Linked DNA regions of Oryctolagus cuniculus. The protein of the gene in region 1 binds, or shares a complex with, the protein of each later gene. Links are inferred from orthologs where the notes say so. Each region holds a gene or a part of one and is shown on either strand. Other genes may lie near its edges.

What was found.
Region 2: the proteins of ETFB (region 1) and ETFA are in contact, whole or in part, in a crystal structure (PDB 2A1U), measured with the Homo sapiens proteins. The link is inferred for Oryctolagus cuniculus from reciprocal best matches to the Homo sapiens genes ETFB and ETFA. Residues at the interface, in NP_001976.1 of Homo sapiens: Ile14, Tyr16, Val18, Ile20, Val22, Val29, Thr31, Phe41, Leu102, Arg106, Lys124, Gln125, Ile127, Asp128, Asp129, Asp130, Cys131, Asn132, Gln133, Gln136, Met137, Ala139, Gly140, Phe141, Asp143, Trp144, Pro145, Gln146, Thr148, Phe149; in NP_000117.1 of Homo sapiens: Glu27, Leu88, Pro89, Glu90, Ser113, Ala114, Phe115, Lys117, Asn118, Pro121, Arg122, Ala124, Ala125, Lys126, Glu128, Val129, Ala130, Pro131, Ile132, Ser133, Arg146, Thr147, Ile148, Tyr149, Ala150, Gly151, Asn152, Ala153, Leu154, Cys155.

Annotation. Positions count from the first base shown.
Region 1 is NC_091449.1:6,947,397-6,951,846, reverse strand, and holds the start of ETFB (electron transfer flavoprotein subunit beta), read right to left. Parts: upstream 2,837-4,450; 5' UTR 2,745-2,836; coding exon 2,688-2,744; exon of another isoform or gene 2,282-2,687; intron 1-2,281. Other genes in the region: CLDND2 (claudin domain-containing protein 2), read right to left, coding at 3,203-3,276, 3,641-3,760, 4,078-4,218, 4,349-4,450. UniProt on the Homo sapiens protein: Heterodimeric electron transfer flavoprotein that accepts electrons from several mitochondrial dehydrogenases, including acyl-CoA dehydrogenases, glutaryl-CoA and sarcosine dehydrogenase.
Region 2 is NC_091443.1:106,917,415-106,921,210, forward strand, and holds part of ETFA (electron transfer flavoprotein subunit alpha, mitochondrial), read right to left. Parts: intron 3,621-3,796; coding exon 3,474-3,620; intron 1-3,473. UniProt on the Homo sapiens protein: Heterodimeric electron transfer flavoprotein that accepts electrons from several mitochondrial dehydrogenases, including acyl-CoA dehydrogenases, glutaryl-CoA and sarcosine dehydrogenase.

The DNA.
Region 1 (4,450 bases):
TGTTAATCGCTTCACCTGGAGGCCTGTGGGCTGGCCACTGCCCGTCCCACCCTCACTTCAGATGGAGTGACCGAGGGGCAGGAAGGCCATGTGCCTTGGCCACGACACCTGCGGTCTGTCCCCAAGCGTGCCCCGGCAGGGAGGACAGGGCCTCGGGACCGGCTGCCCTGTGTCCAGGAGGCTCCCTGTAGATTCCTGGCAACTCTTCTCGAACCCTGGACACAGCCCCCAGGGACTGGGTTGGATGCAGGCTGTCCTTGTGCGTGGCCGGCCACGTGCTGGGGCACAGAGCCAGCACAGCAGCCAGGGCCACGCGGGGGCAGGAGGGGCAGCCAGCACACCTTCCCATGAGACATCTGGAGAAAACAGGCCGGAGGGGGTGCCGCAGGAGCCCCCCGGGGAGGGGGGCGGAGGCCGTGGGGACCGGGAAACACACAGAGGCACCTGCCTTCCCACGCACGGCCAGAGCGGGAGCCCCCCCGCCGGGGGGGGCAGAGGCCGTGGGGACCGGGAAACACACAGAGGCACCTGCCTTCCCATGCACGGCCAGAGCGGGAGCCCCGAGGGGGGGCAGAGGCCGTGGGGACCAGGAAACACACAGAGGCACCTGCCTTCCCACGCACAGCCGGAGCGGGAGCCCCGAGGAGGGCAGAGGCCGTGGGGACCAGGAAACACACAGAGGCACCTGCCTTCCCATGCACGGCCGGAGCGGGAGCCCCGAGGGGGGGGGCAGAGGCCGTGGGGACCGGGAAACACACAGAGGCACCTGCCTTCCCACGCACGGCCGGAGTGGGAGCCCCGAGGGGGGCAGAGGCCGTGGGGACCGGGAAACAGAGGCACCTGCCTTCCCACACACGGCCGGAGCGGGAGCCCCACGCCCGGGGGGGGGGGCAGAGGCCGTTCGGATCGGGAAACACAGAGGCACCTGCCTTCCCACACACGGCCAGAGCGGGAGCCCCGAGGGGGGCAGAGGCCGTTCGGACCGGGAAACAGAGGCACCTGCCCTCAGCGACTCCACAGTGTCCCCCGCGGCCTCCAGCAGCGCCAGCCACCACCTAGCACGCGCCTCGCACTGTCCCGTTTCCAGTGGTGCACCTGCCAGCGGCGAACACATCCCACGACCTCTTGCCACTGCCCATTCCAGAGGAAGGGGACAGGCACTAAAGCAGTAGGGAGTAAATTCCACTGTCCGGCGGGGGGGGGGGGGGGGGGACTCTGGGGCTGTGGCTTCAAGCAGGCGACCACGACCACGGAAGGCCCCACAGAGGTGACGACGGGGTGAGCAGTGCAACAGCTGCCAGGCTGGGGGTGGGAGGTGGGTGTGGCCACGAGGGCCTGGTGTGTGTGGGGGAGGGCGGTAGAGGCAAGCCAGGGTTCTGCAGGGGCCCTGAGACACACCTCAGTAACCTGAGGAGGTGCATGGAGGGCTTCCTGGAGGTGGTGACGCTGGGACCGGAAGCAGGGGGGGCCGGAGCCAGGGAAAGGAGGAGCAGGTGGGGTGAGGGTCCCAGAGGGGACATGGCCGCCTGAGCGGGGCCGCCGGGATCCCTAAGGCCAGGCTGAGGGGAGAGACTGCGGGTGTGCGAGGAGACTAGGGCAAGGGGCCAGGGGAGGTAGAGAGGACCCTGGAGGGGCGTGGACGGCGTCCAGGCCTGGTGTTCCGGTAGCTGCAGTGTCTGGATCCCCTGTTTGTTCCGAAAGGGGCGTCGACAGACACGCCCAGCGGGATGGAAGGGGGGCAGTGTGCAGGCGCAGGTGCAGGCAGGTGCAGGCGGGGCCGAACACGCTGGAGGCACCCGTGCGCAGGGCTCTGTGCCGGACTGACTGAGTGGAGACAGACCTGCGCCCAGGCCCGGGGCGGAGGGAGCCCTAGGGGGCTGCAGGAGTCCAGGGGAGGGGGGCTCCAAGCAGGAGCGCGGGGTCGCGCGACCCCTGGAGAAGCGCCACTCAGCCCTGGCCCACGCCCGGGAGGGAGCGGCAGGCGGTCCGGAGCTGGGCTGGCCTGGCTGGGTTTCTGTCCTGGCTGGGTGCTCTGGGGAAGACAGGGCCCCAGTGGGCCTCAGCGCCCCGGGACGGGCTGGGGGGGCACCCAGAGGTGAGCGCCCGCGCTGCTGGCACAGCGGAGCCACATGGGCAGCTCAGGCCAAGCACTGAGAGAAACGGAGGGGCTGCTTCCCGCCTCCAAGCCGGGCTCTGGGGACCTGAAGCCCCTGCCCCACCACCCCCAAGCTTGACCTTTCACCCCTGTCGGCCCCTCCCCAGCCAGAGCCTTGGCGCTCACCCCCGGGGGCCGCGGACGGGGAACGCCGGCTTCTGGGGGTCCCCCCAGTCTGCACACTCCGGGGGCTGCGGTCAGAAAGCTCGCCTCGGAGCCACGCGCCGAGTCCGAGCGAAGAACCGGGGGGTCGTGGACGGGACCCCCGGCCCTGGCCCTCCCCGGCCGGGTGGGCGCGCCGTGCCTCAGTTTCCCCGCGTTAAGCAAGGCTCGTGGCTGCTCCGGCCGCTAGGACAGTCATCGGGAGAGTGTGCACGGGGTCGCGACCTCACAGTCCTCGGCGTCTGCCCGTGACTTTGACGACTGGGTCAGGGGTTACGAGCAGACCCCCGCCCATGGCGCGCTCGTGATCCCGGAAGCCCACGGCCGCGGGGCACCACTTGGAAGCAGGAAGGGGGGAGGCCCCGGTCACCTTCACGGCGAAGTCGATAACCCTCTTGACAGCCACGAGCGCGCGCAGCTCCGCCATCTTCCCGCAGCAGCCAGCGGCCGGGGCCGGCGGCACCCCGGACCTCCCCGCCCGAACGCCCCGCCCCCGTCCCTCTCTGCGCCTGCGCGCCGCGCCGCCCGCCACTCCGCGGCTGCGCAGTCCGCGCCCCGCCCGGAAAGGTGACCAATCAGGAGGCCGGAGGTAAGGAGGGGTGTGGCCAGCGGACGCGGACCCACGGAGAGCCGGTCTGGAGCGGGAGGGGGACGGGGCGTGGCCAGAAGGGGGCGTGGCGGGAAATTAGGGGAAAGGTCGTGCGGGGGCCGGCCGCCTGCCCGCCTCTCCGAGTCGCCGCGCCCTTTGTACCCGTGACCCCGGGGGACGACCCCAGGTCAGCCGCGTGCACGGCCCCCGCCCCCCGTGGCCCTGTCCCCCCGAGAGGCGCGCGGAGCCGCGTGGCCGAAATCCGTTCCTTTATTCCGCGTCGGGACGGGCTGCGCTCACAGGCACACCGGGAAGCCGCTGATGGCGTCCGTGCTCTGCACGATCATGTCCGCCAGCAGGAAGCAGAAGCCTGGCGGGAGGGGAAGGGGGTCCCGGCGCGGGGGCTGGGGGCGCGCGGCTCTGCCAGTTCTGCGGGGTCGGGGGTGGGGGCGGGGCCGGGAAGGCGGGGGAGGGGAAGGGGGTCCCAGTGCGGGGGCTGGGGGCGCGCGGCTCGGCCAGTTCTGCGGGGTCGGGGGTGGGGGAGGGGCCGGGAAGGCGGGGGCGCGGAGGGGAAGGGGGTCCCAGTGCGGGGGCTGGGGGCGCGCGGCTTGCCCAGCTCTGCGGGGGCGGGGCTGGGCGGGGGCGGGGCCCAAGGAGGGGCGGGGCTAGGGTCGGGCCCTGGCGAGGGCGGGGCGTCCCAGGGCAGTGTCCCCTCTCCCCGCGGCCCAGGTTACCCGCGAGAATAGAGAAGGGTAAAGCCAGCCACCCCAAGAAATAGGACCAGGAGAAGAAGACGTCGTTCTTCCAGGCAGTCTTCACTGTGTAGCCCGTCAAAGCGATCAGCAGCAGCAAACCTGGGCCGGCCCGCCAGCGCCTCGGGTGAGCGTGGCCAGGCGCAGGTGGGGCCGCCGCGGGCCCACGCACGCCTCGCCGTCCGCCCCGGGCCCTGCCCCTCCGCCAGCCACGCCCCCGCGTCCCGCCCACACCTCGCCGTCCGCCCCGGGCCCTGCCCCTCCGCCAGCCACGACCCCGCGTCCCGTCCACGCCTCCAGCCACGCCCCCGCGTCCAGCCCACGCCTCCAGCCACGCCCCTCCCCGCGGCCTCCCGCCCCGTCTGTCAGGCCACGCCCACCCCTCCCAGCTCCGCCCCCGGGCGCCGCCGCCGTCTCACCGGCGAGGAAGAGGAAGGCGCTCGTGACCTGGCCCCGCAGCGACTCCCCCTGATGGCACAGAATCTTCATTCCCATCACCGTGGCCACGATGCCGAAGCCGGTCGCCAGCACCATGCACGCCCCGGTCACGGCCAGCATGGCTGCGGGCGAGCGGGCCGCGTCAGCCTGCCGCACTGGGCGCCCCCACCCGGGGCTGGGCCGGGCGCGGACCGAGAGGCCTGGAGGTGGCGCGCGCGGAGGGCGGACGCCGCCCGGCCCCGGGCCGCTCACTCTGGCAGGGGATGTTGGAGCAGGTGCCGTGGCTGCACTCCTGCCACAGGCCGCTGTGACCCCCATGGTGGCGCGTCCAGTAGTTGCTGGCGGTGGACAGCA
Region 2 (3,796 bases), on another chromosome or scaffold:
TTCCTAACTGTACGCATAAGAAATATGCAAAAAGAGGGACCATTACAAATACCAACAGAGCACAAAATCTTAGTGTCCAACTATGAAAATCATTTTTATTAGCGAAAGAACAACCTACCAAGGAATTTTTAATTCTGCAACAAAGAAAATCTTACATCAACTGATTTTAGTACCTATGGACTTTACATAGCGCTACTAAAAAAGATTTTAACAAAAATTTCTGCCTTGGAAAAAAAAAAACAGTGCTAACCGATCAACAAAAGTGGGTACGGCTGTTTACTCAAATTCAGTTGTGGACTGTGTTCTTTCCCTTTGATTCAATGCAAGGTAAGTTTATCACTTCAGAAATGGCGAAAATGAGTTCTCTGTCTCCCAACAACACGCCTAGGACATTTCAGACTTAGGTTTTCCTGGAGGGAAAGAGCAGACTTAACCATCCTGTACTCTACCGCGCTTTATTTGACAACAACAATTTCCGCTGATATTAAAATTTTTAACTCTGAGCAAGACAGAAAACCTAACGCTCGTAAACGACCCCTGTCAAGTACAGAGTCCTGCCCACAAACATACGAGGAACTTCACAAGCCCACAGAGGGCCAGGCTTGGGCACAGCAGTTAAGATGCCTCCATGCTGGAGTGCCTGGCTCAAGTCCTGGCTCTGCTTCTGATTCCAGCTTCCTGCTGAAGTGCTTCCTGGGAGGCAGCAGGTATGGTGTGAGCACTTGTCCTGCCACCCAGGTGGGAAACATGGGTTGAAATCTGAGATACCATCTTCCTTCCACCTGGCCCAGCCCTGGCCGCTGAGGAGTGAACTATGCCCTCTCTGTCCCGGTCTTGCTCTCTGTCTCTGCCTTTCAAATAAAATGAGGAAATAAATAAATAAATAAATAAATAAAGCTCATGGGAAATGAAATTAAAAGATGTTTATTTTGGTGCAAAAAATTTTGAAGTCCATGCGTATGAGGAATCTTCAAAGAGTTTTTAAAAAACTATGCAAGTGTTTCAAAAATGTTTTTTTGCAACAGAATGAACTTATCTTTCGACTCTACTATTCCATGAATTTTTTGATATACCCTCATATATGTATCTATGACAAAGCAAAATATTTCCCATTTTAATTCCTCGCTTTCCTTGTTTGGAATCAGGATGAGGAACTGAGAGAGCTTTCTGACGCCTCAGCCTCTGTACACAGAACGCCACTAATACAGCACGACCAGTTTCTCTTTCAGCAATCCCATCAGTCATATTATTGCCTTCTGTCTCCCTGTTCACCTCAGGCTGATTCACCGAGGAGTGGGCATGAAAGGCCATGCCTCCTGCCCCTCTCCATGAACTGCAAAGTGGCAGCCATTCTCACCGAAGATGGACACAGTGTGGGTCGGGGCTCAGAGGCCCTTTATTATGGCTACATCTGTACTTAGCTTCTCTAACTCGAGCAGAATTTCCAACTAAGAAACACAGTTCACTCCCAAGTAGCTGTATAGCAGCGCAGGATACAAAAACGTACAGAATTTTTCCAATCTCAACATTTTTTAACTGGCAAAAACTTCCAGCATTATACAGAAGAATCACTTGCTGTTTATGATAAATGGCTAAAGAAACAGTGGGAAACTGAAATTGCTTGTATCACAAACATCTTTATACAGGTTCTGGTCGCTTTAAGATTAGAATATGACATAACAAGATTATAACTAAGCAGATTTCAAATATTTCAAAGTGATAGGATAATTATTTAACATCATAGCAAAACAAATCCAAAATCTGTATATATCTGAAAATGAAGCAACCGTGAAAAGATAGCTTAGTCATACCATCACACATCATGCCTAACATCAACTACATAACATTCAACAGTTGTTAACAGAAACGATGCAAACAAATCCACATAACTAACCCTAAACCTGCTGCAAGGACACCTTCTTTTAAAATGCAAATTTCACAGAAGGAATTACAGAAGCAACTCTGACCCTGGGAACCTATGTACCACAGGCTCTGCACCTTAGTTTAATGAACATTCTCTCCACATACAATCCCTCCATGAAGTCCAAGGCCACAGCCACACAGTGGGCAACTCCCTTCTGCAGTGAGAGGGAACGGTGGCTCAAGCTCAGTAAGCTAACTGAAGTGTTCATCTATACCACAGCCGGGGATGCAGACCCTGCGCCTTCCAGGGGTTACAGCACCTCTGGGGGGATGCAGACCCTGTGCCTTCCAGGGGTCACAGCACCTCCGGGGGGATGCAGACCCTGCACCTTCCAGGGGTCACAGCACCTCTGGGGGGATGCAGACCCTGCACCTTCCAGGGGTCACAGCACCTCCAGGGGGATGCAGACCCTGCACCTTCCAGGGGTCACAGCACCTCTGGGGGGATGCAGACCCTGTGCCTTCCAGGGGTTACAGCACCTCTGGGGGGATGCAGACCCTGCACCTTCCAGGGGTCACAGCACCTCTGGGGGGATGCAGACCCTGTGCCTTCCAGGGGTTACAGCACCTCTGGGGGGATGCAGACCCTGCACCTTCCAGGGGTCACAGCACCTCTGGGGGGATGCAGACCCTGTGCCTTCCAGGGGTCACAGCACCTCTGGGGGGATGCAGACCCTGCACCTTCCAGGGGTCACAGCACCTCCAGGGGGATGCAGACCCTGAGCCTTCCAGGGGTCACAGCACCTCTGGGGGGATGCAGACCCTGCACCTTCCAGGGGTTACGGCAGCTCTGGGGGGATGCAGACCCTGCGCCTTCCAGGGGTCACAGCACCTCCAGGGGGATGCAGACCCTGCACCTTCCAGGGGTCACAGCACCTCCGGGGGGATGCAGACCCTGTGCCTTCCAGGGGTTACAGCACCTCTGGGGGGGATACAGACCCTGTACCTTCCAGGGGTCACAGCACCTCTTGGGGGGATGCGGACCCTGTGCCTTCCAGGGGTTACAGCACCTCCAGGGGGATGCAGACCCTGCGCCTTCCAGGGGTCACAGCACCTCTGGGGGTTGGCTTCCAAAGCTGTGGTTTCCATATTTAACAACAACCAAGAGAATCTTTTAGTACCAGCTATAATTTGGTAAAGACAGACCTTGCTTTTGAGTTGTTCCACTAAGTAAAAATTAATACCCACGACACTTTGTTCAGATTTACCTCTTTTGGGAATTAGAAGCAGTTATATTCATCCATACAGAAAGGGAGTTGGCTATTAACCTCTGAGAGGACTCCCACAGTATCACTCTAGGGTACCTGATGGCACACGATGATGCCAACGGAACTCAATCAAGCTTCCCACCTCATTTCAAAAGAAAATGCTTAGTAGCACACCCTTTAGCTCCTTTCTCACACGCAGCTAACGGTTCTAACGCTGGCCATTTAAGGAGGATTATAGCCCTGCCTGGGTTACAGTCCTTTTGGCATAATTCTCTGTTGCCATCTTTCCCTGTCTCTTGATGGAGATTACATTTGCTTCTGCTGACCTTAAAAATTTCTCACCTTGTCACATTTGGTTCCAGCCACTAAGCAGGACACATCTCCTCCCAGACGCTTGGCTGCAGTGATGGTGTTTAAAGTAATGGGTGCTAGGGAGTCATTCGCGTGTTCGGCTATTACCAGAGTACTCTGAAATCGCAGCAGTGAGGCCTAAACGGAGGGAAAAAATGAAAGAAAAAAAAGAATTTTGATACTTGTTAGGAGTGTGTGCTTGCAAGGAAACTATTTTGCACACAATACTCAGTTCTGTAACAGACGTAGGGGTGCATGTTTGGCACAGTGGTCAAGCTGCTGCTTTGGATGCCCACATTCCGTATCAGAGTCAC